Ovis aries: one gene and its partners. The protein of the gene in region 1 interacts with the protein of each later gene in a pairwise test. Links are inferred from orthologs where the notes say so. Each region holds a gene or a part of one and is shown on either strand. Other genes may lie near its edges. The genes, in order: HDAC6, ERBB2 and ERBB4.

Region 1 (9,523 bases):
GCACAGGCATCAGCACTGAGGGTGTTGGTGGTCCAGGAGTAGAGAGCAGGAAGAGTCCATCTCTGCCGAGGAGAACCCCACCACCAGCAATCTCTGGCCTTCCCTGCCCTGCCCAGGCCTCCTGGACACCATGCCCAGCACAGTCTCATGGATGGATATTGCATGTTCAACCACGTGGCCGTGGCTGCCCGTTATGCTCAACAGAAGCATGATATTCAGAGGTCAGCAGCAAACAGCAGGGCGGGTGTAATGAGGGTGATATGAGGTGGGGTGTCCTGGTCTGGGCACTTGTTCCTTGATCTTCTTACATAGTGCCCCCCTTCTCTCCCACTCACAGGGTCCTTATCGTGGATTGGGATGTGCACCATGGTCAGGGAATACAGTTCGCCTTTGACCAAGATCCTAGGTATGCCATGATGTTAGAGTACTACCCCAAATGCTAGACTCCCAGACACCCCCTACCTTTACAGGCGCAGCCAGAAGGGGCCCCAGAGGGAAGGGAAGGCATTCATGTTCGTTGGTTGGACCTGTCCTGGGAACAGGCTCAATGCTGCCCTCTGCATGTCTGCTGTCTCTCTCAGAATTTCACTCTGAGGCAGGGGCTATTGGGGTCCCCATTTTACAGATCAGGGAACTGAGGCTTACAGGTTAAGAGGTCATACAGAGAAGTTGAAGAGACAAAATTTGAGCCCACAGGTATTTGGAGAGCTCATTTACCAAGTTACCCAGGAGCTGAAGTGAACCTCAAAATACTATTTTGTTTTCCAATTATTTGTTAAAAAATTAAAGGGAGTTAATTCCCTGGTCACCTAGTGGTTAGGATTCTGGGCTTTCACTGCCACAGCTGGGGTTCAATCCCTGGTCAGGGAACTGAGATCCCACAAGCTGTATGGCACAGCCAAAAAAAAGTAAATAATATCAAAATGTCTAAAGCAGTGACTCTCCTGTAATTCCCATCACCTCAAAAGTAACTGAATTTTTCCTGTAGATGTACAAATATTCATCATTATCATTACTATTATTAATATACTACCACTACATTTTCTTCGGCAACTTGCTTTTTTGTTTTTAACAGTATGGTGTGGGCACCTCTCCATGTTAGTACCTCTGAAAAGCATCTCATTCTTTGTAAGGCTCTACCATGTTCCATGGTATGGCTGTAACTTTGGTCATTTAATCCTAGGACATTTATAGTGCTTCCCAGTCTTTGCTATTACGAACAATTCTACAGTGAATAGTCTGGTAAATAAATAATTTTATGCTTCTCTGAGCACATCTGTAGGATGTTTTATCTGGGCTTTTATTGAATTGACTGCATAAATTCTACTTTCTTCCTTGTAAAAGGGCTCTTGCGCTCCTGTAGCACTTTATCTAATCTAGGTTGGTGGTTCTCCAGACATTGCTTTGTTTATTTTCCATCATTCAGTGTTGCCGACACATGTTCAGATATCAGTCTGATTTCATTCCTTTCCAATATATTTTCCTTTCTGGATGGTTTTAGGTTCTTCCTGGTGCCCTAAATTTTCACTTCACCACTGATTCTACTTACCAGTGGTAGACATTTTTACGTCAGAATATTCACACCTTTCTTAAATCCTCAGAAGTTTTCTGTTAGATTGTTGATGATTTCTTCTACTGTGTCCTCTCTGGTCTCTCTTGTTAGTCAGATGTTAGACTTCTGGGTTGATCCTCTGTATCTCTTATTTTTTATCTCATATCTTCTGTCTCTTTTTCCTTTTGCTCTGTGTCCTGGGAGATTTACTCAACTTCACCTTCTAATTCAACAGTCCTTCTGTTGAATTGTGTGTTTATGAATTCTTTTAATTTCCAAGAACACTTTCTTGCTCTCTGTGTCTATGCTCTAAGCTTTAGTTTACTTATTTTCTTTGTCTTCATAACAGTGTTTTAAGAACTATCCTCCTGATGGAGTTAAGAGACAGAGATAAGGAAGCTGGATGATTGAAGGTCATGGATAGATTTATTTTTCATTTATACATTCTTATTCATAAGGAAGAATATATTCATAGTTCTTCATACCTATACATATAGTCAGTCATATATCCACAGAAGAATACAGCTGTTGCCTCCAAGGCATTTATTAAAAAGAATGACTAATCATATTAAGGAAATCTTATTATCATGCCTAAGAAAATTAACAAGAATTCCATTAATAAACTAAAACTTAAAAGGAAAAAATAAATTTAGTGAGTTTGTCATTCAGTGACAGAATTGACTTTGAGTGCATTGACCTAGATTTGTGCTTGACTTCTCCAGAAGGGAAACTTCAAAACTGTCTTGGGTATCCTCCCAACATGTTCAGTATGGGAGAGGGCTCACTGGGGCCCTGGACCCTCAGACAACTTTCCAGGGATTTGTTGAAGTCGCTAATTGTCTGACGTCCTTTCTCCCACTCTGTTTTCCTGCGTTGATTCTTGTTTAAAATATCTTTACTATCTTTTGATAGGATTGTAGGGGAGTGAGGAGGTAAACCTGTGCTATTAATCTACCATTCTTTTACTGGAAGTTGATTGAACTTATTTTATTTATTTACTTATTTTTGGCCATGCATCAGCTTGTGGGATCTTAGTTCCCTGATCAGGGATGGAACCCAGACCCTTGGCAATGAAAGCACAGAGTCCTAACCACTGGGCCATTAGGGAATTCCCAGTTGAATTTATTTTATCTCCTTCTGTTTGTTTTATAAACTTGGACTTTCTTCAGATCTTTTCTTTATTCCTTTCTTTCCCTGATGATAATCTTTATGTTCTACTATATATTTATCTATCAGAGTCAAAAGTGAAACAATCACCCCCTCATCTGCTCAAAGACCAGAGTTTTCGCATGGACTTCATCCCCTAATTCCAAGATAGTTTTCTTCGATTTCAGAAATCCTTTTGTACCAGTTTGCATTTAATTTCACAACTACAGTATCAACATTTATTAAAATGTGACTGTTAAGTTTGCCTAGATTCATTGCTTACCACTATTTCTTGCCTTTTCCTAAAATAGAAAAAAAAAAATGCTGCCTTAAATCCTTTCTGGAACAAGGCAGGAAGTGAATGAACAGATGGATAGAAGGATGGATGAGAGATATTCATTTTGATTGCCTCAGTCAAAATCAAGCCCTCCTACTGGGCTTACTATCAGAACATATACCATTGTGACTTTTCAGTATCTGTTCTGTGTCAGTCTTCCTCACTGCTCTGAGTGCTCAGTTTCTCTAGAAAACAGAAGTGATAGAGGTGGCCTGTAAGGTATTGGAGAGAAGGAATTGCCCCCTCACTGGCCTCATGGAGCCCCAGCCAGCATCCTCACTCTAGCCCCACATAGCTCCTGAGTCTCCCCACTTCCTTCAGTGAAAATACTAAGCTCCCTAGCCTTGCCTGGCATTCTTTTCAGCCTTACCTGGCTCCCACTAAGAGCCACATGCCCCTATGGGCCTTCAGTGTCACAGTGTTCTGTGTTCACTACCGTGGTAACAGAGGCAGGTAGGTAAGCAGGCATGATCTAGAGTTCCCAATGGGATCAGGAGCCCTTAGGGGTGGAATAGACCTGATAGCTCCTGGGGTCTCAGAGGTAGAACTGTATGGGCACTGAAAGGGGCAGCAGTGTTTGCTGTGGGAGGAATTTCAGTAAGAGACCAAATGAATGAGTAAGTGAGGTAATGGATAAATGGAAGAATTAATGAATGGGAGGATGAATAATTTGGCAACTGAATGGAAGAATGAATATATGAATTTAAAAATTCATGGGGAAATTATTGAGAGAATGAATGAGTGGTTAAGTCAACTGTGGTAGCTGTGGGTTGGAGGTTTCTGGGGAATACTGACTGAACCCCCCACCTCTTTTTTTTTCTCTGCCTCCAGTGTCCTCTATTTCTCCATCCACCGCTATGAGCAAGGTCGGTTCTGGCCCCATCTTAAGGCCTCTAATTGGTCCACCACAGGTTTAGGCCAAGGCCAGGGATACACCATCAACGTGCCTTGGAACCAGGTCAGTGTCTGCATACCCTTCACCCCCAAAGTGAGACCCACTTCTGCCCTTCAGAGCAGATGGCAGCACGTCCCCATTATACCTCCCTGTCTGCAGGTGGGGATGCAAGATGCTGACTACATCGCCGCTTTCCTTCACGTCCTCCTGCCAGTTGCATTTGAGGTCCTGGGGCTCTGGGGTGTGCTGGGGCAGAGGTGATGTTGAAGGATGGGCCATGATAGCAGGTGGCCTCATGTGATTCCTCCCTCCTTCAGTTCCAGCCCCAGCTGGTCCTGGTAGCCGCTGGATTTGATGCCCTCCAAGGGGACCCCAAGGTAAGGCAGGTACTTGGGGATGGCGGGAGGGCAGAAGGAGGCCCTGTGGAGCCAGGCTGACCCTCCGTGTCCCCCCCAGGGTGAGATGGCCGCCACTCCAGCAGGGTTCGCCCAGCTCACCCATCTGCTCATGGGTCTGGCAGAAGGCAAGCTGATCCTCTCACTGGAGGTGAGTGACTCATTCCACTTCAGCCCTTGGATCCTGGAAGACAGAAGAACAACATTCAAATCTGGCAGAAGTTCCTGTCCCAGCATTTCCACTTACTAGCTGGACAACCTCACCTACGTCCCTCAACTTCCCTAGGCCTCTGCTTCCCTTATGTCAGAGGTGTATCATAATAGTTGTAACCACCTCAGACTATTTGCTCAGCAAATGAAATCACCCTTCAAATGCCTTGGCATGCAGCCAGCACCACCCCAGTGTCATTCATACTCTTCTCTGATAACATCTGGCTCTTTCCTGCCCACCCTCACATGAATTCCTTCTCCCAGGGTGGCTATAATCTCCGCTCTCTGGCTGAAGGTGTCAGCGCCTCCCTCCACACCCTTCTGGGTGACCCTTGTCCTATGTTAGAGTCTCCTGGTGCCCCCTGCCCGAGGTAAGCCCAGGTGGAGGAGGGGAGAAGCAGGCCCCTCACTGCTCATTCAGGAGCTGGTTGGTCACATTTCTCCCTCACTTGACCTCCAGTGCCCAGGTGTCACTCTCCTGTGCTCTAGAAGCCCTGGAACCCTTCTGGGAGAGCCTTGTGAGATCAGGTAGGTGTCAGGGAGTATGTTGGGTCAGGGGTTGGGTAAGGAATGAGCTGTGGGAGGAGTTTCTCTTCAGACCCCACTCTGACCTTCCGGAAGCCACCTTGCTGGGGGGAGGGGAGAATCATGCCCTCTCTCTTACTGGGCCCTGATTTCAGGCCTCCCACCCCTTTTTAGGTTTGGGTAAACCTCGTTCCAGAGTATTACAGGGATCTAGGTTGGGGGCGGCATAAGGGAGTAGGGTGAATGTGGCCTCCCCTTGCAGTTGAGAGCCTGGAAGAAAAGGACACTGTGGAGAAGGATGATGTGGAAGAGAAGGAGGAAGAGAAACTGCCACAGTCCTCTGAGCTCTCCATTCCGATATGGCCGGTGCTACAGGCTCGCACGGGGTTGGTCTATGACCAGCGGATGATGGAGCACTACAACTTGTGGGATAAGTAAGCAGTCAGAGAACCAGGCTAAGTGGGAAGTGGGGAGGGACCCCCGCTTTCAGTAGTAAGCCCTGCCTCTGTTCCCTCACTCCTAGCTACCACCCTGAGATGCCCCAGCGCATCCACTGTATCATGCATCACCTGGACGAACTGGGCCTTGCCAAGCGCTGCCACTCCCTGCCCGCAAGGCCTGCTACAGATGCTGAGCTGCTCACCTGCCACAGGTCAGACCCATGTGGCCAGGGTAGGATGGGCCTCAGAGCATGGAGCCTGGGCTTGCCTCTCTGATACATGGAGCTGTTACAAGACATGGGGTGGGGAAGGATGTGGAGGGGACAGAATTACCTGGCTGTCTTCTCAAGTGCCCCCTCTGTACCTCCAGTGCTGAGCACTTGGAACGTCTGCGGGCCACGGAGAAGATGAAGACCCGGGAGCTGCGCCGTGAGGGTGCCAACTATGACTCCATCTACATCTGCTCCAGCACTTTTGCCTGCGCACAGCTGGCTGCAGGCGCCGCCTGTCGCCTGGTGGAGGCAGTACTGGCAGGAGAGGTGCCTGTGCTTTGGGGAGGGGACCTTGGGCTCCTGGCAAGGAAGTCCTGGGAGGGGGGGGGCGGGCAAGAAAGAGGCAGCTCTGAGAGTTGGGCCAGGCCTGAGGAAAGGGGACTTGGAGAGCAGTCCGCAATGGAAGGGGACTACAGCCCCAGCTCGCCAGAGGCCTTACTCACAGGGAAGTGCACCCAGGGGGATGGGGCCTACAGGGCTGTGGGGAGGAGGCCTTAGCAGCTGGTGGAGTAGTAGGGGCACAAGAGACAGGGAAGGGGAGGGAAAGCGGTGAGGGTGGGTGGTCTAATCTTTGCTTCCTGCCCCTCCCCCAGGTTTTGAATGGCATTGCTGTAGTGCGACCTCCTGGCCACCATGCAGAGCCGGATGCAGCTTGTGGTTTCTGTTTTTTTAATTCTGTGGCTGTGGCTGCTCGCCATGCCCAGGCCATCAGTGGGCATGCACTGCGGTAAGGCTCCCTGCCCCCACTGCCCAGTGCTTACTCAGCAGGCCCTGTAATGCAGCCCCCAAAGTTACCCAGGACCACCCCAGGGTCCAGTTGCCCAGCACTTCCAGAAAAGGACCAAGGAGGATCTAGCTTCTGGGGCCTGACCCAAATGGGATCCCCAGATTGTGGCATGCAGGTGCTTATCAAACAGAATCCAAGGTCCCCTGCCCCAGAATTTCTGGCCCTTGATGACTATCCTAACAGAACCCAGGGGCTGGCTTCTGGTGCTTACTTCAAAAGGCCCATGGCACTTATCCACATGGGGCCTAGGATCTGGCCCTGAGCACCTGCTCTGGCCCACTGTGAAGCCCTTAGGACTCTGATAGGACCCACAAGCCTGCCACCCAGCGCTTTCCCCAGGGACTCAGGGTCCTGCCACCCGCAGTAAATGTCCCGGCACACAGACTCCAGGGATGTAGCCCCTGCCCTCCCCCAGGGAACCAGTGTTGCCAGGTAACTAAGGTGCTGTCCCCTCCTCAGGATCCTGATCGTGGACTGGGACATCCATCATGGTAATGGAACTCAGCACATATTTGAGGAGGACCCCAGGTGAGGGGCTGGGGCAGGGGCTGGAGTGTGGTCAGGGAGATGGGCAGGCCATGCCTCAGGGGCACCTTGCTAACCAGCTGTTGTCCCCCCTTCCCACCCTGTCCCCACAGTGTGCTGTACATTTCCCTGCACCGCTATGATCATGGTACCTTCTTTCCCATGGGGAATGAGGGTGCCTGTACCCGGATAGGTAAAGCTACAGGCACAGGATTCACTGTCAATGTGGCCTGGAATGGGCCCCGCATGGGTGATGCTGACTACCTGGCTGCCTGGCACCGTCTGGTGCTTCCCATTGCTTATGAGGTATGATTCGGGGTGCACGTGATGAGACTCTGTATGTGGTAGTGAGTGTGCATGTGTCTAACTTACAGGTGACTGATCCTGTGAGAGGGCCTGTGGGTGACAGTAGTGATGGCTTTGGGTGAGGGGATGTGACTGTGTGATGGCCTTTGGGTATGTCTGTGCAGTATCTGTCTGTGACTGCCCTCTGTGTGTAACTGTGAGGACTTCTGGGTGTGTGAGAGTAATCTTGCCTGCAATTATGGCTGGTTGTGAACATGTCCCATGTGTACACCATCACTAGTGCTGGTCTGTGTGTGATGGTGGCCCCATGTGACTGCCATCTTTATGGAACTGCACGGTGTTGAGGGGTTCGAGTATGTGTGAGACTCTACGGGTAGCTATTTGTCACTACCATTGCTCTGTGTGATGGCTGTGATATTGTGCACAGCTCTCTCTCTGACAGTCATCTCTCCAACTGTCTGCTATGGCCTATATATTAATATATATTTGCCTGACACTAAGTAGCTATAGGTAACTCTTCTCCATGTATAAACCATGTATGTCCGTGGCAAATCATGTATGCATGATTTACTCTGAGGGTTGATGAATGTGAGTGCCATTTTTGTGACCTCTGTGCAGACATGCATGCTCAGATGTGTATGTATGTCTGTGCACAGTGGCTGTGACTACCATCTGTGTTTGTGTAACTCTGAAATAGTATGTGTGTGACTGTGCAAGTGTCCATTTCCTGTGGGTGCAACAGCATGTATGACTGTTTTGCTTTTGGTGGTGACGTGTATAATTGTGTTGGTGCAGGAGTAGCTGTGGATTACTGTTCCCTCTGAGAAATTATGTGTGTGTGTGTATGTGTGACTAATACCATGAATAGTCCAGTCTGTATGAGACTGTTTGATTGTGTGTGGCTGTGTGTGACCGTCTTCTGTGTGTGGCACTTTTGTTGTAATCTTCTATGATGGAAGCATGTGTGTACCTCTCTTTAGCACTGTGTATAAAACCCTGTGTTGTGCACATGTGTCCCATGTTTGATCCAGGGAGGGGAGTGTTTGCCTCTTGGTCTCAGCCTTGGGTGTATATTGTGAGAACATAATCTCTCTGTTTCATGTCACTGTCTCTTGACATGAGTCTCCACAGCTTACAATTCTGCTTCATGTCCCCATCCATGCATTTCTCACATCTGCATCTCTCTATCTTGTGTCTCAAAATCTGTGTCTGATGTGTCCATGTCTCCAAGTCTCTCTTGTGTCTCCACGTCCTGCCCTCCCTATTTTCAGGGCTCTGGGCTTGTGTCTCCTGGGCTCCAGGTCCCATGTCTCAATCCCTCTGACTTGCATCACCCTGTTTTCATTTGTCCTTGTCTCCATGTCTCTGGGTCTCCCTGAGCTACTAAGTCCCCCTGCCCCCTCCTTCATGCTCAGTGTGTCTCTTCTCTCTCTGCCTCAGTTTAACCCAGAACTGGTGCTGGTCTCAGCTGGCTTCGACGCTGCTCGGGGGGATCCTCTGGGTGGCTGCCAGGTGTCGCCTGAGGGCTATGCCCACCTCACCCACCTGCTGATGGGCTTGGCCAATGGCCATATCATCCTAATCCTAGAGGTAACTCTCTTAGTCCCTCTTCCCATGGTCGGAGGATGGTCGGGAAGGCTTGGGTGTCCCCACCTGGGATTGTGGGCATACACTGTGCATTAATAACACCAGCATGAGCAGCTTTAATTGAGTACTCACTATGTGCAGGACACTTCCCTCAGTACTTAACATGCGTAACTAATGCATTTACTTAAAGCAGTCTTGGGAGGTAAGGTCTGCTGACCTTACCATTTTCCTCTCTCAAGATCAGGGAAGCTGAAATACAGAGAGCTGTAGTGACTAGCCAGAGATCACACATTTAATAATGGCAGAGGCAGGCTTGGACCCAAGAAGCCTGGCGCCAAAGTCTGTGCTTTTTACCTCTGCTTGAGCTGTATCCAACAAAATCCCAGGACAAAGGAAGTTCACTGACCTTTTGTAAATTACTCAGTGCCCCTGACCCTTGTACCTCAGTATCCTTGTCTGTAAGGTGTGGCTGGCTAATCGTGGAGGGGTGCCTGGAATGTCATAAGCCTTGTACAAGAGCTGTAGCTTATTGTTACACATTGTTCA
Region 2 (9,523 bases), on another chromosome or scaffold:
GCTGGCAGCAATGAGCGGGGATACGGGGACGACGGCCGTAGCGCCCCCTCCCGGGGAGACCGAACCGGGCCATGGGGTCCGCATTGTGGTTGAGTACTGGTGAGCGGCCCCTGCCAGTGACGGGGATCCGGGCCGGACGAGGGTGGGTCCACCGGAGGTACCTTTTCCGAAACCCAACCGGACCTCCGGTATCTTCTCCCTAGCGAACCCTGCGGCTTCGAAGCGACCTACCTGGAGCTGGCGAGTGCCGTGAAGGAGCAGTATCCAGGCATCGAGATCGAGTCGCGCCTGGGGGGCACAGGTGAGGCTGCGGAACACCTGCTGAGTCAGTGTTCTAAATCCCAGCTCCATCACTTTCTAGCTCTGGCATTGGCTGCTTTATAGTGTCCCCAGTACCTGGCAAGTAGTAAAATGTCCAGCCCGCTTGAGTCCCCTTCCATAGGTGAGGGGAGTCACATTTGAAGCCTACTGGGAGAAACGGGTGAGACCGAAGTGTTGGAGGGAAGGGAAACTTCCATTGAGTTACCAGGTGTTCAAAGGAAGGGCACACGGGTGATGCCTCCCTTCAGTTTCATTGGCTTGACCCTAGGCTAGGAAATGGCTTGAAGAATCTCTAATGTAGCTGAGGGAGCTTGTATGAAGTCTAAGGAGTGTGGAAGACCCCCTTTTGTAGAACTTCCCGCCTTTTGCCTGTGCTCAGCATACAGTTCATTCATACAGTTCATTCATTTAATACTAGGGGCCTTTGAGATTGAAATCAATGGACAGCTGGTGTTCTCCAAGCTGGAGAATGGGGGCTTTCCTTATGAGAAAGATGTGAGTACTTGCAATACCGGGAATAACCCTAGTTCAGCTTGCCCCTCCAAGGGACACATCATCCCATTCCACATCTCTGCCCTCTAGCTCATTGAGGCTATCCGAAGAGCCAGTAACGGAGAACCCCTCGAAAAGATCACCAACAGCCGCCCTCCTTGTGTTATCCTGTGACTGGATGTGATTCTCGGTTCCTGCTCTCTTCTGGGATCCAAGCCTTGGTTGCCCCACTTTGATCCTGCTGAGGGCTCCCCACTGCCTGTCTCACCTCACTGAGCTCCTGGCAGCTAAGAGACCCTGGCCTCCACTTTGCCCCTTTGGTGGGCACCAGGAGGGAGGAGATGGTTCTGTGGTCTTAGGGGTGGAAGAGATGCTCTCCATGGACATTTCCACAGCCACCTTACACCCCTTCCCTAAGATCAGTGCCCACAAAAACCTGCTCCCCTCTCCAGCTTAGCCATACCTGTCAGATGTTACCATAGTTCTAATTTATTTTCCACTGGCCCCAGGCAATGTCAGCTATTGGCAATAAAGTGGCACTGCAAACTCCTGTGCCCACTAGTGTGTGTCTTATGTCCAGTTTGGGACTGTGGGGAGGGAGGAAAGGGGGACAGAGGCCAGCCCAACCTTTATGCCACCAACATGACTGTGCTGGCTGGGTGGGTGGTTTTTTTCTGGATTTGTTTAGTCACTAAGTCATGTCTGACTCTTTGCGACCCCATGGACTGCACGATTCCCTGTCCCTAGCTACTCTTAATTCAGTGATTTCCTTGCCAAGGCAAGAAAAATGAGTCAACAGTGCATCTTGTTTCCTCTGTCCTTCCCTGACTCCCCCTACCTACAGAGAGGAAATTACCCCATTCTGGTGGGTGGGTGGCCTTAGGAGTTCTTTTTTTTCCTAAGAATGATCTTTTCAAAGAGCTCTCAGATCAGAATCCCAATTCCCAGTTTCCCCGCAACCCAAGAGCCAGAAAACTGGAAGTAGGCTCCTAATTCAAGTTTTCCCAAGATTCCTAGCCAGTCCCTCCAGGAAAGATGAACTGAATGTAAGTTAGGAGGTGAGCAGTAAAGGGACAGCTCCAAGCCACCCCTAGACATAGGCTGGTGTCCAGCTGTTTTCCAAAATATATTTGCAAATGGAGAAAGTGAGTGTGGAGGACATCCCTCCCCCAACCCCAGGGATGCCCCTGCTCCAATACCCACTCTCCACCAAGTCCTTATTTCATTTTTAAAAAAACAAATAAACAAAAAAACATAAGTAAAAACAAAACCAAAAAAGTCTGTACAAAGACTGGATCTGGGTGCTGCTGCTGCTCCCTCCTTCCCAGGGACAGAGCTGGGTCTCAGGGACAGTCTCTGAATGGGTTGCTGTAGTTCCTAGACACCCCCTTGGGGCCTTCTTCGCACTCGGCCCAGCCTCCCTAAGTCGTTCAGTGCCAAGGGTCTGGAAGAAGTCAGGCTGGGCCGCTCTCAGCCACCTAGGAGTTGAAGTAGGAAAGGAGATTTCTGGCATGGCAGGCTCCCCTGGACGTGATCCAAGGGCCTGCTCCCTGCCTGGTGCCGACGTGGGCCAGAAGTCAGGCCTTCCACATGCCCTGAGGGTTCAGCAGGGCCTCAGTGGCCCTGGCCTTTTGGCTCATACTGGCATGTCCAGGCCCAGGTACTCAGGGTTCTCTGCCGTAGGGGTCCCTTCAAAGGAGCTGGATGGAGTGCCCCGCTCTGATGGGTCCTGGTCCCAGTAGTAGAGGTTGTCAAAGGCTGGGCTGAAGGCTGGAGAAGGGTGGGACTGAGGGGCGGCCCTGCCCCGGGGTGCCAAGTACTCGGGGTTCTCCACGGCAGCCCCAAAGGCAAAAACGTCTTTGACAACCCCATTCTTCCCAGGGGAGAGCGTCTTGGGCCTTTCCAGAGTGGAACCTGCAGGTCGAGGAGGCGGCAGAGGACCCTCTAGGGGTGACGGGGGCTGTGGGCGAACCTCTGGCTGGTTCACGTATTCTGAAAGGACAGGAGAAGGAATCGTAAGAGGGTGAAATCTGTGTGTCCCAGCTGCTACAACTGCCCTGCAGCAGGCCCTGGGCAGAGCACCCCCAATCCCCACCTCTCAGCTCAAGCCTGACTTCATACCGGGCTGGGGGCTGCAGGTCGAGGGGGCAACGTAGCCATCAGCCTCGGGAGAAAGGGGTACTGTGGGGTCCTCGCTGTACCGCTGTAGAGGGCTAGAGTCGTGTTGGGGGAGGGACTGCAGCCCCTTGGCCGCCCCCATTCCCAAGTCGCCATCAAACACATCAGAGCCTGCCCCTTCGGAAGGTGCCAGCGGAGATCTGGGGGGCTCCTCCTCAGAGGGCTCCAGCCCCAGTGTCAGCTCACCACCACCACTCTGAGGACAAGAGAAGGTCAAAAGGGAGGTCATTCATGGATCTGAGATGGAGGTTCCATGGGAAGTGACAGAGTCCCAGGAGATAAATCATCTCTGATGTATGACAGAGGCATGGTAGAAAGAATGGGATCACGGTTGGAAAGCAGTAAGAATCCTTCTTAGGGAAAATGGGGCCTCCTTCATGAGAGGTAACAGCTGGAGGACATCGGAGGAAGGAACCCTGGTCCGCTGGAGTCGGGAGGTAACCAACGACACCCACCCCATGCGATGGGAGCACTAACCCTGGTGGATGTGCTGCGGTGCCTGCGGTGGGCCGTGCCTCCAGCTCCTGGGGCAGGGTCTGGGCAGAAGAAGCCCTGCTGGGGTACCAGGTACTCCTCCGCATCCACCAGGTCTCCCATGTCGTCATCCTCCAGCAGCGAGCGGTAGAAGGTGCTATCCAGGGGGCTAGCAGGGCCCAAGTCTTCATTCTGGGGAGGAGGGAGACGCATGGCAGCCTCTCCCCAGCCCAGTACGCAGCCTCCTAGGGGTGGCTCAGGGAGGGCTAGAAGTCTGATGAGTCAGGCAGGAGCTTGGAAGCCTGGGACCCAGGAATCATTCTTCCTTTCCTCCCTTCTAAGGGAGAGTGCTCTTAGCCATAGGCAGGGATGGGGTGAAAGGTTCAGTACCTGGATGACCACAAAGCGCTGGGGGTCCCTGGCCATGCGGGAGAATTCAGTCACTAACTCCCGGAACCTCGGCCGACATTCAGAGTCAATCATCCAACCTGGGGGTGGGCAAGAGCCTGGCATCTCAGTTCTGGCTGCAGCCTGCATGCAGCGCCCCTCACCCTCACGCCCAGTCTAGACAACACTAGAGTCCAAAGCCCTCTGATGATGGAGAATCTACCAGTTTCTCCTTTTTACTTTGGATCAGTCTTTTTTCCTAGCTGGCCCTCGCTAGCTCCTCTGGACTGGTACTGTAAAAGGGCAGGGAGAGCCTTCTGAGACCCATTAACCTTATCACCATGCTCTTGGCCCATGCCCCTTGTAGGCCCATCCGCCCAGGACCACCCACCCCTCCTCCAAGCAGCCAACACAGCTCAAGAACGTACATTTGACCATGATCATGTAGACATCAATGGTGCAGATGGGGGGCTGGGGCAGCCGTTCTCCCTTCTCCAGCAGGTCAGGAATCTCCCGGGCTGGGATCCCATCATAAGGTTTGGCCCCAAAAGTCATCAGCTCCCACACAGTCACACCTGGGGCATAGATGGGGTGGGAGGACCAGAGGCAGCTTTAGTGTACGGAGCCTCAGAGGCTCTGCCGAAGAGCCTGGCACCATGGGGGAAGGAGGAAAGATGCAATGCCAAAGGACAGGAGATAACTTGGTCTTTTCCCAGTCCCTGGGAAGCACACACACTCTGGCAGCCTGAGGCACTGGCAGCCACTTCCTTCCTTCTCACATTTATACCAAAGGTGTCTATCAGTTCACCCCATCCTTCCACCCACATTCTCCCCAGGGCCATGGCTCCTTGTCCACCCTCCCTACCCACTCCATCACACACCATAGCTCCACACGTCACTCTGGTGGGTGAACCGCCGGCGGAGAATGGACTCCAATGCCATCCACTTGATGGGCACCTGGTAGAGCAGAGAAGGAAGTCCTCCAACCAGGTCTGAGTTCTCCCAGGGGCCAGACCCCACTCCCCCTTGTTTCGGTTTGCTCCTCTAACCTTGCCCCCATCTGCGTGGTACTCTGTCTCGTCAATGTCTAGCAGTCGCGCTAGCCCGAAGTCTGTAATCTTCACATGGTTGGGACTCTTGACCAGCACGTTCCGGGCAGCCAGGTCCCTATGCACGAGCCGCACATCCTCCAAGTAGCTCATCCCCTGGGGTCAGAGGCATCAGTGTGGACCTCGCTCTGCCAAAACTCTCCCAGGAAACCTCCCTATCCAGAGGCTTGCTCCCCAAGGGCACCTGCAGAGCCCTGGCCCCCAAAGTGCATACCTTGGCAATCTGCACACACCAGTTCAGCAGGTCCTGGGAGCCCAGGCGCCCACGGTGTTCTCGGACGTGGTCGAGGAGGCAGCCATAGGGCATAAGCTGTGTCACCAGCTGCACTGTGGATGTCAGGCAGATGCCCAGGAGGCGGGACACATATGGGGAGCCTACACCAGCCATCACATATGCTTCCTGGAAACAAGGGCACACACTGAGAGGGTATGGGAAACCACTAACCCCCAACCACCACACACCCCTCCCAAGGGCTAAGCCATGATAACGGGCCCTCCGCCAACCCAATCCCATTCATCACAAATCGGAACCATGGCCCACAGACTAGGGAGGGTAAGAGTAGACATTTGGGGGAATCACAGGGTGTCCCCCAAAACCCCAGTGAAGAGAGAGAGAGCCCAGTCCCCCATACCCCCAGCTGGACAGGGTGGAAGGGCTTACGTCCAAGATTTCCTTGTTGGCTTTGGGAGATGTGTTTTCCCTCAACACCTTGATGGCCACGGGGATTTTCACATTTTCCCCATCGGGGATCCAGATGCCCTGGGCAGAGAGGAGGATGTGAGCAAAAGGACCGGCCAGATCAACCTGCAGCCGTCCTACTTGGGGTCACTGCTTGTGCTCCCAATTCCCTCCCCAACCCTTGGGCCAATCCCATTATTTAGCAGCAGCCTCACCATTTAGACCCACTGGCCACTCCCAATCCCCTATCCTTAAGTGCCTACTCAACTGCACCACCCGCGGTTCCTGGCTGTTGTCCCAGCACACCCTCCGCCACACCCTGCAGCATCCTCTAGGACCGCCCACCCGGGGACTTTGGCCCCACCCCTGACCTTGTAGACGGTGCCAAAAGCTCCAGATCCTAGCACCTTCACTTTCCTCAGCTCTGTCTCTTTTAAGATCCGCATCTGAGCCTGATTGGGCATCGCTCCGCTGGGCGTCAGGGGCTCCACCAGCTGGGGTGAGGGGGTAGTGGGTCAGTGCTGCAGGTTGGGCCGCAGACCCCAGAGCTCGAGAGAGACCCTCAGGTCGCCTCACCTCCGTCTCCTGCAGCAGCCGCCGCATTGTATACTTCCGGATCTTCTGCCGCCTTCGCTTAATGAGGATGCCGAACACCAGCCCCACAAGGACAACCAGCAGAACGCCCACCACAGCGGCAATGATGGATGTCACAGGGCTGGGGGCAGGAGCCAGGATCATGGATTGGGGACCAGTCTGGGGCAGGGGGGATGAAGGGGTCCCACGGTGGGGCGCGGTGGGGTGGGGGGAGGAGGGAGAGGGGGCTGACTGTCACTGGCATTTGGAAAGGGAAGTCAGAAGGGTGACCCACAGGCTCCCATCCTGTCTGACCTACTCTAAAATCCATCTTGGCTCCTTACTGTCTGGGAAATAAAGTCCAGACTCCTTGCTAAGATTCAAAACCCTCTACACCTACATCTCCAAGTTGTCTATGCTCTTGCCCATGGCTCTAGCCCAGGGTTCTTGTCAACCTGTGAGAGTACGGAGCTCCACCCTCCAGAGACTTTGACTGTGGTATGAGGTGGGGCCCAGGAAGGTGCACACAGAGATTCTGATGTTCTAGCCAGAATTTTCACCCATAGGTCACGATTTCCAAATCTCCCAGCCGTTGTTATAATACTTCTGCCTGGATCACCATTTCTGCATGAGGTCATCTTTCAAGACTCTGCTTATCCTAGGATAGAAGGATCTCCTGGGCACTGACCCTACATCCTTGTCATCCTTGTTCCCCTCCCTTGCTTAGCCAAGGGCTGGCTTATCACAGACCTCAAATGGACCCTTATGTCATGGACAAATGCTTACTCAGGACACACTCCGATCTTTTTCTCCCTAAAACCCTTCCCAAAACACCCCTCTGCCTAGAAATCAAGTCCAGCGATGGTAGTGATGGACATCACAGGGCCTGTGGCCTCATGGTAGGGGAGAGCCTATGCCCTCCAGATCCGGCCCTGAACTGACTCAGACTTCACCCCCTACTCCTTCCTCTGTGCTTAGTCAGTTACCCACCACAGCAGAATCTTCAGCAAATACATCCTAGACTTTCTGGACACCTCTTACCATGCTGCCTGGTTGCTTTCCTAATACAAGTGACATTTCGCGCCCCTCTTTCAAAACCTAGCTCATGTGCCTGAAGCCTCCCACTGACCCCAGGGAAGTATTCACTGTCTCTCCCTCAGTGCTGCAGCCATGCTCTCTTCTCAACGTGCCTCGAGTCCCAGGGAGTTGAAGGCTGCCTGTGTCCCTTATGAGACCCCCAGCTATACAGGGAGGGTGGGGAGGTGCTGGGTGTCTTCCTACCCCCTGACCCCCAAGCAAGCCGAGCAGGCCTTCCACCCACTGCATGTGTGTGTGCATATGTGCTGAGCCTCCCAGTTGTGTCCACCTCTCTGCAACCCCGTTGAGTGTAGCCAGCCAGGCCTCTCTGTCCATGGGATTTCCGAGGCAAGAATACTGGAGTAGGTCGTTATTTCTTACTCCAGGGGATGTTCGCAGCCCAGAGATTGAACCCCAGTCTCTTGTGTCTCCTGCACTAGCAGGCCAATTGACCCCTGCACCACCTGGGAAGCCCCTCCATCCCCTAGTTGAAGCTAACTGAAAGAAGCATCCACAGTGGAAGAGTGGGCTGGGGAGGACACGTGTCATGTCAGGACATGACACCTAGCAGCAGGGACCACCCAGGGGTCAGTGGGGAACTGAGGGCAATGTGGGGTGCATTCTGGGGACCAGGCTGACCTGGCTCTCTGCTCGGCGGGACAGCCCTTGTCATCCAAGTCCACACAGCTGCAGGAGAGAGAGAGTCCCGTCAACAAGGCTGGGAACCACCTCCTGCACTCACTCCAGCCTCACAGGATCCCAGGAGGTGGGTGTGACTGGGTTAGGATCCCCACTTGACAAAGGCAGAAACTGGGTTCGAGGTCACCAGGGCTCTTTCTACCATCCCACGGGGGAGTCCTCCAGTCTGTAAACCCATATCATTTGCACCTCCCTGTGGTGGGAAGGAAGTGGTGGCACCCAAAGGAGCATCGGGTTCAAGAGCTTAGCCATCTCCTCTGTAGAGGAAGCCAGCGTAAACTACTACTGTAGTCGGGCAAACTCCCGCAGTTCCTCCTGTCCTCCCAGCGGTTCCACCTCTGGGGATAAACCCTGAAAATGCCAACACCTGTACACTAGGGGGCATGTACAAGATGCTCACTTGTACGTGGAGCTCAAGTGCAATAAACTGCCAAAAAGAGAAAAAAGGAAACAAGTTCAGTCAGTACTCTCAGGCAGGGACACAACTAAATAACTCTACATCCATACTGCAGATTGAGTAGTTAAAAAAAAAAGGAGTTAGATTGATATGCATTCACAGGAAAGGACCTCCAAGATACATAAAGGGGGGAAGGTGTGGGGGAGCAAAGTGTATATGAGTCAAATAAATTGCTGAGAAATAGATGAGCTAGATGAAACTGTTGTTTCTTGATCATTTTTGACTTCTAAAAACAGCAATCTTATATGACTCAACGTAACATATACGTAAAATGCACTTATGTAAATATGTGCAGAAAAGCCTGGAGGAATGCACATTCCAGAGTGACCTGGTAGTTCTCTCCAGGGAGGGGAGGGGCAGTGGGAGAAAGGGCACTTCTGCTTTACACTGTTTACTTTGATACTGCTAAAAATATGTCTTACAAGAATGTATGCACGTGTTCCACGTGTTATCAAAAACAACTAAGTAAAAAAATAAAAAGAGCAGGGCGGATCACTATATTAGCACATGAAAAAGCATTGCAAGAAAAACTGCAGTGTTACGTGAGAAAAAGCAATTGGCAAACAATAGGTATGGTCTATGCTCCTATTTTTGTAAAAAGAAATATAGACTAGAATGTGCACAGATAAGAATTGGAGAATAAAAATAATATATAAACATATTTTATATATTATATAATAATACATGTTAGCATGTGCACATATAAACTGGAGGGAAAATATGGCAAGTTATTAACAGTGGAATAGAACTGTTAATACTATTAATTTATCCATGCTTTAATTTAAAAAATTTTAACAATATGTATTACTTTTGTGATCAGGAAAAAAAAAAGATAAAAATGTTAAGGGCCTTGGGGTAAGCAAAGGCAGAGATGTCCCACTTTTTACAATAAGAGCCTCAGAGAGTCTCCTGGAACAAGCCCTTCTTTATATGGGGAAGGCCCTCAGACTCACGAGTGGGTGCAGTTGATGGGGCATGGCTGGCATATGCCCTCCTCATCTGGAAACTTCCAGATGGGCATGAAGGAGAGGTCAGGCTTCACACCACTGGGGCAGCGAGCCACGCAGAAGGGAGGAT
Region 3 (10,105 bases), on another chromosome or scaffold:
TATTTTGTCTCTATGTTATAAAAGTGAGACAGTTCTCTTCCCTCTTGAAAAATTAGTACAAACACAAAGCACCAGTTGAAGTGTCGAATATTAAAACAAGAAAGGGGCTTTAAAGCTTTGATTAAAGCACTGGGAAAATAGGTCAATTTCTTTAATAACATGTCAGAATTATCAACAACTCAGAAAAAGCCAAATAAGACGAAATCTAAAGAGACCATAGACCAGTTCTTAAAAGTAGAGTTTTGGGGGAAATGGCCTTCATATATACATTCTTCAAACTTAATAATCTCTTTATTTCATTTAGATAGGTGCTCTTCTAACAGTGCTGGTCTTTTAGAAAGTTTACATTATGTTTATTAACATGTGTTCATGTTTTAAGTATATCAATTTAACTCATTATTGCTATGTATCTCAATATCACAGGATTTTAAAGCCATTTTTTCAGAAAACTGCTATACAATGGAGAAATAGAGAACACATGCATTTTACCCTCAGGCATGCAAGCCAAGTCACAAAGACGAGAAGTGAATTGCTCAAGGTATTAAAAATAATTTGGAGGAGGAACGATGTCCCTATAATATAGAAATCCCTATTTGAACCACCTGGCTATGTCCTGTGTCAAACTTAACTACACTATAGATAGGTAAAATCTCCTTCAAATTATGTAGGAAAACTATAGTTTCAGGAAGCTCTGGTCTAAGCTCTTTTTTATTTAAAAAGGAAAGGAAAGAAGGAAAATTGAAGGATTACTTGTCATTATAAACTGCAAATTTCAGTCAGTAGGAATACTAGCTAGCATGAAAAGTAAGATTTTACTTTAACTGCCTAATATTTAGAATAATTCAGAAAATGAATATTAGATAAAGATGCAACATAGCTCCATATGGTCAAATGCAATATAGTAGAACATTTCTTAAATGATATAACCTAGAGAAAAGTTTATACTTTTGATTTAAATTCTGCCCTGTGTCCTTACTCAGTAGATCACTGTCAAAGATAACAGCGGAATATGCTTGACAATTAATTTCTGTAGAACAGCTATAGTTTTAAACAGCCATAAGCTAATTTCAATGTAAAGATTAACATCTCTCTCTATAAAGCAGTATCTCTCAAAGGGGTAAAATCGACTGTGATTTCAAGTGCCAACAAGTTTGCAAGTAACAGAGTTTTTTTGATCATTTGCTTTATGTTACAGGCACTTAAAATTTACTCATGGATATCCAACAGCAGCAGGACACTGTCAAATAAAGCAAAAACGTATTCTTGCTTTTAATATATACTAACTTTTCTTAACAACTGGATTGAAGTAATACAAAAAATGACACCACTTTAAAACACAGCAATGTTTAAGGTGCACTAAGTCATTTTCTAAAATGTGTGCCTTACATAGTCATTAATCTCAAGGTGGCTCTAATCACCGGGCTTCAGAGAATATTCAGATACAGCACATTGCCTTGCATCCCTAGCATTTTTGAAGCGGCAGTAGTCTAACTTCTATGGTCAAGAGGGGGAAAAGAGGGAGAGAGAAGGGAAAAAAGGGACTTCTCTGTAGAAAAATTTGGCCTTGGAGTCAGGGTTTTTGAGATGTGCTAGTGAGCTCGGATCGATGCCTTTTTATTTTCTTTCAAGAATAAATCTGAGCAATGGAATGGCTTGCGATTGTCCAGCCAACCAGCCATATCAGATTTATCAGAAAGAAAGAATGAAAACTGGCTCAGAGGACTCCTGCAGTGGCTGAGTAGCAGGTTGCTGGGAAAGACATGCACAAAAAGAATACCCTTAGTGATGATGGGGAAAATATATATTCATATGTGTAAACTCAATAAATAATAAGATGTAAAAAAAGAACCTATAGCAATGGAAAGGGTGAATGCATAAGACAGATGATAAATAGCACTTCTATTTAAGAACCAAAGGGATGAAAGCTCATGAATACTAAATATTTGAATCTACTTTAAGAAGAAAATATGGTTTTTCCTGAAATGAATGCAAACTCTAAAAATCAGTCAATGCAAACTTAAGTGTGTTCAGGCTAGAACAAAAAATACATAAATCTTCCATGAAGTGCATGCCCTGGTAAATATTCTAATGCAATTTCTTAATTAAGACACATATTCAGTGACTAAATGAAAATTATACATATAAAGGAGCAAGTACCTTGATTTCAAAAAATTTGACTTTCTATGCATGTATGAAAAAAATAAAAGGAGTTTGGTTTAAGGAAAAAATAATCAGAAATCAAAGAATCATGACACAATTTTACCATCCAATTTTACCATATCAGTCCACATTATAGTATTTTCAAGTGATTTGCAGTCACAATAAAAGGTATACATTTATTTGGAAGCATCTTGAAGAAAAAAAAATACCTTACTTTAAAAAGGCTCCTTTTACATATATATGAATTTCAAAAATTGAAAGAAAAGAAAAAGCAGAAACTGTACTCATGGGTGTGTTTACAATAAATACATGCAGGGAGAGAACTGATTTTTTTTAATTATATTGAACATCTTTTCATCATTTAACTAAGTTTTATTCACCTTTTTCTTCTCAAATGTTTAAAAATTTGATTCTGGAGATATATCTCAAGGATGGAGGAAAAATACATGCTCTTTTATAGAATGAAAAGCAGGACTAAGTTACTTGCAAATAAAAAATAGGGGCTGAACTTGTTCATCACATATCTATTAAGGTACGTAAGACCACCACCTCAGTACCACTACACATATATACATATATATTTCAACACAAAGGTGATACTGATCATTTTTCCATCATGGCGGGAAGACTGAAATTTTGGAATTCTTTTTAGAGATAAAGGTTTTATAACAGCCAAATAAAGGGCTCTTGGCTATAATATTTTTCGATAAAATAAATCACTCGAAATGAGACGAAGTCTTTCAGAATACTAAAAAACAAAACAAACAAAAAATCTTCTCTAACGCTGATTTTTCCCCCCCAAGGAAGAGAAAAATAAGAACATGCCCTCTTCAGATACAACTATTTTATATCTTAGATCTACACAACAGAACCCTGCTCATCTCGTATTTTTATTCTGTTCACATAGAGCAGTAAATAAGGTGCATTCCTTCTGCTTCTTAAGAAATTAGCATTTCAAAAATATGCCACTTTCCCCCGAACTCCAAGCGTGTCTAATAATGCGAGAAGCAGATTGTCTTCCCTCGTTTCCTTAATTTGTTTCATCTAAAAGCAATTCACTCAACATCTTGTCGCCCTCTGGCAGCTTAGTTTACTTATCCGCACTTAATTTCTCATTTGGACCAAAACAAACTCCTCCAAACTGCTACTGACGGCTAACCGCGAGAGGGGAGACACGCAATATGTATTTACTTGGGAACATACAGCCATACATCCACAGCCACAAACACACAGAGCCTCACTCATACCCTAGAATGTAACTTGGTTTTATAAAAGCACCACATTAAAACCAGCCAAACTTTTCCTGTCAGGTGCGGCAGGGTGGGGGTGGGGAAGACTGGGGGGAGGGGGGGGGGAAGGTGTCCTGGAGGCATTTACAGTTTCCAGTGGATCACCTTAGCCTGCGTGTTAAAATTATACCAGGGAGGCAACCGGGAGCTTTTCTTTGTGCGGCCCTTTCATCTAGATCACTTTGTGTTTGGAACAAGTGAGGCTCGCCTTTGTGCCCCCAGAATTTCAAGTACAGAGTCACACTCGGAACAACAATGGCACGCTAATCCTCGCGCTCTAACTGGGCTCACTTGTGTGGGTCTGACAATTCACGGGGGGAAAGCGAGAAGAGACCAGCGAGGGTGCGAGTCGGTGTCGCCAGAGACGAGGAAGAGGACAGCTGCAGAACTAATTTGGATTACATTCCTTGCAGAAATTCTGAAAAGGGCTTTTCGGCATAGCTCAAGCCCGAGCCGCACAGTTAATACCCAATCGCTGCGGACTCGCAGCCGGGTCCCCCAGCGGCAGAGATTGCACCAGACAGCCCCCCAGTAGGTCGCCCGGTGGAAATTCCTCTCGGCTAAGCCTGCGTGTCAGTCGCAACTGCTTCTGAATGGTTCAATGTGCATAATCAACCCATTGAGGGGAAATATGAAGGGACGCGGAGTGGGGAGGGAGATAAAAAGGGATGTATCTAAGAGGCCGCTTGGAATCTCAAGTCGGTGTTGGTGTAATTCCGGAGGTGGCTGGAGCCCGGGACCTGGTATGCATGAAGAATTTCGGAGTAATTGGGAGGGTGCAAACGGCCAGAACAAACGGCGCACATTGTGCCATTCGAAGGTCATTTTGAAAGGCTCGAGGATTGTAACTTGTTATTTACTAGGCGAGGGGGGAGCGGGGGGAGGCGGCGGCGGCGGGGGCGGAGCGGGAAAACTCCAGCGCGCTGTTTTCTTGGTGAGGTCAGAAGGACACGCTCCGAGGGCCTGAAACTCTCCCTCTCGCCACTCCCCGGGGGCTTTATCTTCTCAAGGTGCCTCCCACGCCCTCGCGACCAGCCCCGTATGGTTCCGGACATCTCCCCGGCTCTCCAAAAGGCCCCCCTTGGCCACGTCAGTCCCCGGTTTTCCTGGCCCTTTCTTTCCTGTCCCACTTTCATCCTCAGGAAACTCAAGTGTCAGAAACTTTGAGCTCCCTGGGCCCGCAGGGGCTGTCATCCACCCTGCGGGCCCCGCCGCGCCTCCTCCCCGGGGGTCAGTTCGCCTCCTGCCCCGCGGGGTCCCGGGGCGCGAGCTCCCCGGGCAGCAGTGGTAGCGCACCCAGTGCCGCAGCACCCGCCTTGGGTTCTATCAATTCGCCTGACGGGTTGGCTCGGCAGCCGCGCCCGGCAGTAAACAGAAGTTGGAGGGACTCCGGCCAATAGCAAGTTGAACTACAGGAAGAACTCTTCCTGAAGCCAAACACAGAAACCGACGGGAAGGCCGGGCTCCCGGCTTAAGTCAGTCAGGCCATTAAAAAAAAAAAAAAAAAAAAAAGGTCAAGCAAGCCAGCCAGCCCCCCTTAGTCCGCGGGGCGAGGGCTGGGGACGCCAGCGGAGGCCTTGCGTTCCCGGGCCCCCCGGCCGAGGCGTGTCCTCCCGCCGTGCTCCAGCTCCCAGGCTGGGCTCGAGTCGGGTCTGACCCCGCAGGCTCGGACGGCCAGGGACGCAGCGGCCGCGGGCAGCGCACACAGGTGCAAAGCCGGCTCTCGGAGCTCCTCTCCCCACTGCCCTCCCGCTCCCCGGAGCCCAGCTGCCACGGCCCCGGGATCCCAATCCTGCCTCGGAGCCCCGGCAGGGCAACGCTTCTCCGAGGCTTCTTCCCTCGCGGGCGGGGGCGGGGGGTAGGCAGACGCTGCAAGGAGCGTCTCCTCTGACTCCGGCTTTGGGTCTCCCACGTCCCGCACAACAGGCGCTACCAGAAGGGATCCGGCTTAGAGAGGCTCGAAGAAAACGCGCGAGAAATAAACAAGGGGAGAGAGAAAGAAAAGGGACGGAGAAAGGGGCGCAGAGTGGTTTTTCACGAGAAACACATGCCCACGCAGAGGGTAAGTTTGGGATAGAAAGAGGGGCGAACGAAAAACACAAGGAAGAGGCGCGGGTGACGTGGTCCCTCCACGCCCGAGAGCGAGAGGGTCTCTGGTTGGGCTAAGGGCGCAGGGGGCGAGGAGCCACCCGGCGCCGCTCGGCCGGCAGCAGCAGGTTCAACCCTGGGAGCGCGAGAAGGACCGCGACCCACCTGACTGAGAAGAGCTGGGCTGGACGGTCCCCGCCGCCACGAGAAGGCTCACCCAGACCCACAGTCCTGTCGCCAGCTTCATTTTTTGGAAGTCTCAGATCCAGTGCTGACAATTACATGTCCAAATGGCATAATCCCCTTTCGGGCACGCGGAGGAGATCCCTCGGCCGGGCGCGCGTGGGGGCTCGAGGGGCACTGGCGCGCGCGGTGCACCAGCTCCGAGCGCGGGCGACCGAGTCCGCGTCCGCGGGTCTAGGGCCCGGACCCGGAGGACCGGGAGAGGGTGCGCGGGAGGGCGCGCGCGGGTGGGAGTGTACTGGAGGGTGTGCGGCGGCGCTCCGGGCCGGACCGGGCAGCTACGTCCCCGTGTGAGCCTCCGTTTTCTCGCTCCCTCCTCACTTTCTCGCTCTCTCTCCCTGGTTGGCCAACAATAAAAAGAAAGGGTTCGGAAGAGGGTTTCCAAAAAAAAAAAAAGTTGATTGCAAACAGGCGGTAGGTTTCCGGCCTCTCCCCCCAGCCCGACTCTGTTCGACTCCCTTTTCAGTTTCCTTGCACCTCCAGTCCAAATTGGGAGGAAAGGGGCGGGAGGGGGAAGCTTCTCGCTTCACCCCCAATCCTGTCCTTTTTTTTTTTTTTTTGCTGTCAGCTTTCTTCACACTTGTCCGGCGGCTGCGGTAATTAAAGCTCCGAGCGTCATTTCCAACGCTCCGCGGTCTCCAGCTGCAGCCCCACCGAGAAATTAATAAGACTCCGTCCGGGAGGAAAAAAAAAAAGGTTGGGGGCGAGCGGGCGGTGGGTAAAACAACCCTCCACGCAGCCAGGCTGGCTCTGCTCAGCCGCGCAAACCCCGCCCCCGCTCTGACCCAACTAGCCACGCCTTCCCCCCCAAAGGGAAATCTTATTGGTTCAGCCACTCCCCAAAATCGTGGGCCTCAGGAGTTGGGAAAACACCTGTCAGGGAGCTGGGAGCCTAGCGGTGGGGGCGGGGGGAGCTGAATTTAAAGGGCTCACCGGAGGCCACAAACTGAATCAGAGACCACCCCCCCCCACCCCCAGACACACGGCGGACAGCTGGCCCGGAAAGCGTGGAGACCACCTGAGAGATGCTTTACAAAAAAGATTTTTTTTTTAGCCAGAAAGTCACCATTTACTCCACACTCCACGGTGCTCATCCACAGACTGGACCTGCCCTAGAAACAGAAGAAAAGAATACGCTGCTTCAATTGTATTAGGCTACCTCGCTTCCTACTTCCTCGTGCTTCACATTCAGACAGTAGTTCAAAAGCTGGTTCAGTAATTGTTAACATCTGCGGAGTAGGTAGTCCTGGGAACCTAAGCACTCCTCTTTCTTCAGTCTGTATAACTAACTATACAACCTCTCCCATCATTCCCACGCTCGCAAATTGATCAAACTAGACTTTCACTTTTGTAGAGCTGCATCCTTAGATTTTTTAGACTTTATGGGGTCACTTCATCTTTTCCTTGGACTCTAGAACAACTTGGTTTTAGGTTCATTCTCATTAAGCCGATTCTAGTCCAAAGCCACCAATTTGGTTCTAAATGGCTAGAAATTGATGCAGGGCTGAGCTGATCAGTCTGAAATAACTTAAGGCAAATGATAGGATATAACCAACCTTAAATAATTAGGTTTATCCTACAGTGGGTCCTGCTTTAGTCCTCTTCCATGTTCATACGACCTCCAGAAGTCATTGCTAGCCATAGGAGTTTCTGAACTCTTCTTAGTCTGAAACATATGGGATTGGATTATATCAGTGCACATATCCCTTGCTTTTTACAACTCTGAAACTGTACCCAGGACAAAGGCCAGAACCTCCTGAGGGCAGGGGATTATTGGTTTGCTATTTGCACAGGCGTTCTATGAATGATTTTCCCTTTTCAGCTTCTCTAGAAGCAGCAACTACATAAAAGTATCAGGGGAGCTTAAAAATTAAGTCACCCTGCCTCCTCGCTCATCATTTGAGACCTTCCTATTCCTCCCCCACGTCTTTTATCTATAGTTGTGTCCCTTAAGAATTTGCGTGGAGTTGGAACAGAGTGAAACAGCAGCTTCTTCCCAGAGGCCTCAGCCTTCCCTTTCTTAGGTCCACAGCAAGTAAGAGGAACAGAGAGGAGGCCAAACAAGCTGAGCATGCAGCTTTATCCAGAAGTAGCACAGGGCCAGGAGAAACTAAGCCTTGAGCAGGTGATGGTGACTTGGCCAGTGGTACTGACTGCAGCAGAAGTGTTCACACTGCTCTTTGGGATTATCTTTGCTGTTTTTCTCACCGTCTTCCCTTTTTCTTTTCTTTCATTCAATCTCTTTCCACTCCCCTTTCCCCCAATCCCCTGGTATTTCTTAGGATGACTCTCAAACACCTCTCTTCCATGAAAACTACTTCTTTTAAAAATTTCCACCTCTCCCCAGAAATGCAACTTAAGTGATTTTTTTTAAGTATTGCTTTTAGAAAAACTTAAATTTATGTATTGAAAAAGTCTTCTTTCTGACAACAATTACTTTGAAAGAAATGAAGAAATAAATAGTGTATTTTAGCTTAAATTGAGGGAAAAATTAAATACTCTGGATTTTTTTTTTCTACTTGAGTCCATTGTAATAATTTTTACTCTCCATCAATTTGATAGTTCTGTTGGGGCAGGAACTCTCCTATATACTTTGGTTTCAATCATGTATCTAAAGTAATTCTTGGTAAAAGAGGTATTTCAGTTAATATTCATTGGTTTTAAAAAATTGGTCTTACATATATTTTGGATGGTAGACAAACTATACAAGATACCCACCAATTACATTAGACTTGACACACCTGTGATTGGCCTTTAATCCTCAAGTTGTTCAGGCTTAATCCCATTTTCCTGGTTCTAACCTACTGATTGATACCTGGCCAAAGTTGTGTATCTGACCACTAGCCTATGGAATGAATTTGCATGAAAGCCCTACTCAAAAAGAGCATCATATTCAACGGTGACTGGTCTATCCTGAGTCGACCTCTTTCTTTCACTTCATTTCCTCCATTAGTGGTAGAATTCAAGGAGAATTTTGACATCATGAGTGGCAGAATACTACTGGTAGGAGAAAGAAACACACTGATCTCAGAGTTCACTGTATTTGGGACAAATACCAAGTAAGAAAAAGAACAAGAACCTATCATGAATCATTAGTCTTCTCCTGAACATTTAGAAATAAATACAGAATTCTAATTTCCCTCCCTGGCCAGCATCATCTCACTCAATATGTTTCTAAGTTATCTGGTGATCATAAACAACTCACTTCACAGACCTGAGCCCTTGGCCTCATCGTTAAAGAAAGGGATGGTTATGTCCCAAATCTAAGACTATGAATCTATGATTTACTGATCACTCACTAAGTACAAGTCACAATTTCCACAGATTTCATTTACTTCTTATATTCTTTCCCTTTTATCCACTCACTCCTACATACTACTTCATCTGGGGCACCAACACAGCCACATATTAAACGGCCTTAGGAAAATATCCAAATAACCTTCACAATATTACTGTGAGCTACTCAAAACTCTGGATCTTTTCTATTCGAATAGCCAAGAAATTCTGGTAGATACAAATACCAATCAAGTTCAGTATTATGATAATCAATCAGATGACGGATACAGTGTTTTTGCCTCTGGTTGGCTGCTTTTTATTAACTAGCACTTGGAATAACATCGTTGCTCTTAACCCAAGAGTTTTGAAATTCTCTAATACTTTGGTGATGTTCAATGTCTCAAAGCATAAAAACAAAATTTAAAATTTCAAACATTAAAAAAATTCATAAATATACATTAAAGAAATGTTTTTGTTACTTTAGTTAATTTAATATTCAAAGAGGACTTCCCGGGAATATTTTGGGTTTGGTTAATGTTTTCGTTTATGTGCATGATTAAGCCTTAATTAATGACACCACCCTTATGGCAGAAAGTGAAGAGGACCTGAAGATCCTCTTAATGAAAATGAAAGAAGAGAGTGAAAAAAAATTGCCTTAAAACTCAACATTCAAAAAACTAAGATCATGGCATCAGTCCCATCACCTCATGGCAAACAGAGGGGGAAACAATGGAAACAGTGACAGACTTTATTTTCTTGGGCTCCAAAATCACTGCAGATGGTGACTTCAGCCATGAAATTAAAAGACACTTGCTTCTTGGAAGAAAAGCTATGACCAACCTACATGGCATATTAAAAAGCAGACACGTTACTTTGTTGACAAAGGTCCGTCTAGCCAAAGCTTTGATTTTTCCAGTAGTCATGTATGGATGTGAGAGTTGGACCATAAAGAAAGCTGAATGAGGAAGAATTGATGCTTTTGAACTGAGGTGTTGGAGAAGACTCTTGAGAGTCCGTTGGACTGCAAAGAGATCCAACCAGTCAATCCT

What was found.
Region 2: the proteins of HDAC6 (region 1) and ERBB2 interact in a protein complementation assay, tested with the Homo sapiens proteins (2 studies listed by BioGRID and IntAct, with this or other methods). The link is inferred for Ovis aries from reciprocal best matches to the Homo sapiens genes HDAC6 and ERBB2.
Region 3: the proteins of HDAC6 (region 1) and ERBB4 interact in a protein complementation assay, tested with the Homo sapiens proteins (2 studies listed by BioGRID and IntAct, with this or other methods). The link is inferred for Ovis aries from reciprocal best matches to the Homo sapiens genes HDAC6 and ERBB4.

The regions. Positions count from the first base shown.
Region 1 is NC_056080.1:56,243,868-56,253,390, reverse strand, and holds part of HDAC6 (histone deacetylase 6), read left to right. Parts: intron 1-116; coding exon 117-221; intron 222-337; coding exon 338-406; intron 407-3,866; coding exon 3,867-3,993; intron 3,994-4,089; coding exon 4,090-4,155; intron 4,156-4,247; coding exon 4,248-4,307; intron 4,308-4,386; coding exon 4,387-4,476; intron 4,477-4,799; coding exon 4,800-4,906; intron 4,907-4,995; coding exon 4,996-5,063; intron 5,064-5,322; coding exon 5,323-5,494; intron 5,495-5,583; coding exon 5,584-5,712; intron 5,713-5,870; coding exon 5,871-6,039; intron 6,040-6,365; coding exon 6,366-6,499; intron 6,500-7,018; coding exon 7,019-7,087; intron 7,088-7,197; coding exon 7,198-7,390; intron 7,391-8,830; coding exon 8,831-8,980; intron 8,981-9,523.
Region 2 is NC_056064.1:39,832,732-39,842,254, reverse strand, and holds the end of ERBB2 (receptor tyrosine-protein kinase erbB-2), read right to left. Parts: coding exon 9,400-9,523; intron 8,417-9,399; coding exon 8,390-8,416; intron 7,978-8,389; coding exon 7,930-7,977; intron 6,356-7,929; coding exon 6,217-6,355; intron 6,135-6,216; coding exon 6,012-6,134; intron 5,722-6,011; coding exon 5,623-5,721; intron 5,362-5,622; coding exon 5,176-5,361; intron 5,058-5,175; coding exon 4,902-5,057; intron 4,810-4,901; coding exon 4,734-4,809; intron 4,428-4,733; coding exon 4,281-4,427; intron 3,954-4,280; coding exon 3,856-3,953; intron 3,658-3,855; coding exon 3,469-3,657; intron 3,188-3,468; coding exon 2,935-3,187; intron 2,806-2,934; coding exon 2,450-2,805; 3' UTR 1,921-2,449; downstream 1-1,920. Other genes in the region: MIEN1 (migration and invasion enhancer 1), read left to right, coding at 11-99, 204-301, 740-816, 904-987. UniProt on the Homo sapiens protein: Protein tyrosine kinase that is part of several cell surface receptor complexes, but that apparently needs a coreceptor for ligand binding. Essential component of a neuregulin-receptor complex, although neuregulins do not interact with it alone.
Region 3 is NC_056055.1:214,420,703-214,430,807, forward strand, and holds the start of ERBB4 (receptor tyrosine-protein kinase erbB-4), read right to left. Parts: upstream 6,537-10,105; 5' UTR 5,785-6,536; coding exon 5,703-5,784; intron 1-5,702. UniProt on the Homo sapiens protein: Tyrosine-protein kinase that plays an essential role as cell surface receptor for neuregulins and EGF family members and regulates development of the heart, the central nervous system and the mammary gland, gene transcription, cell proliferation, differentiation, migration and apoptosis.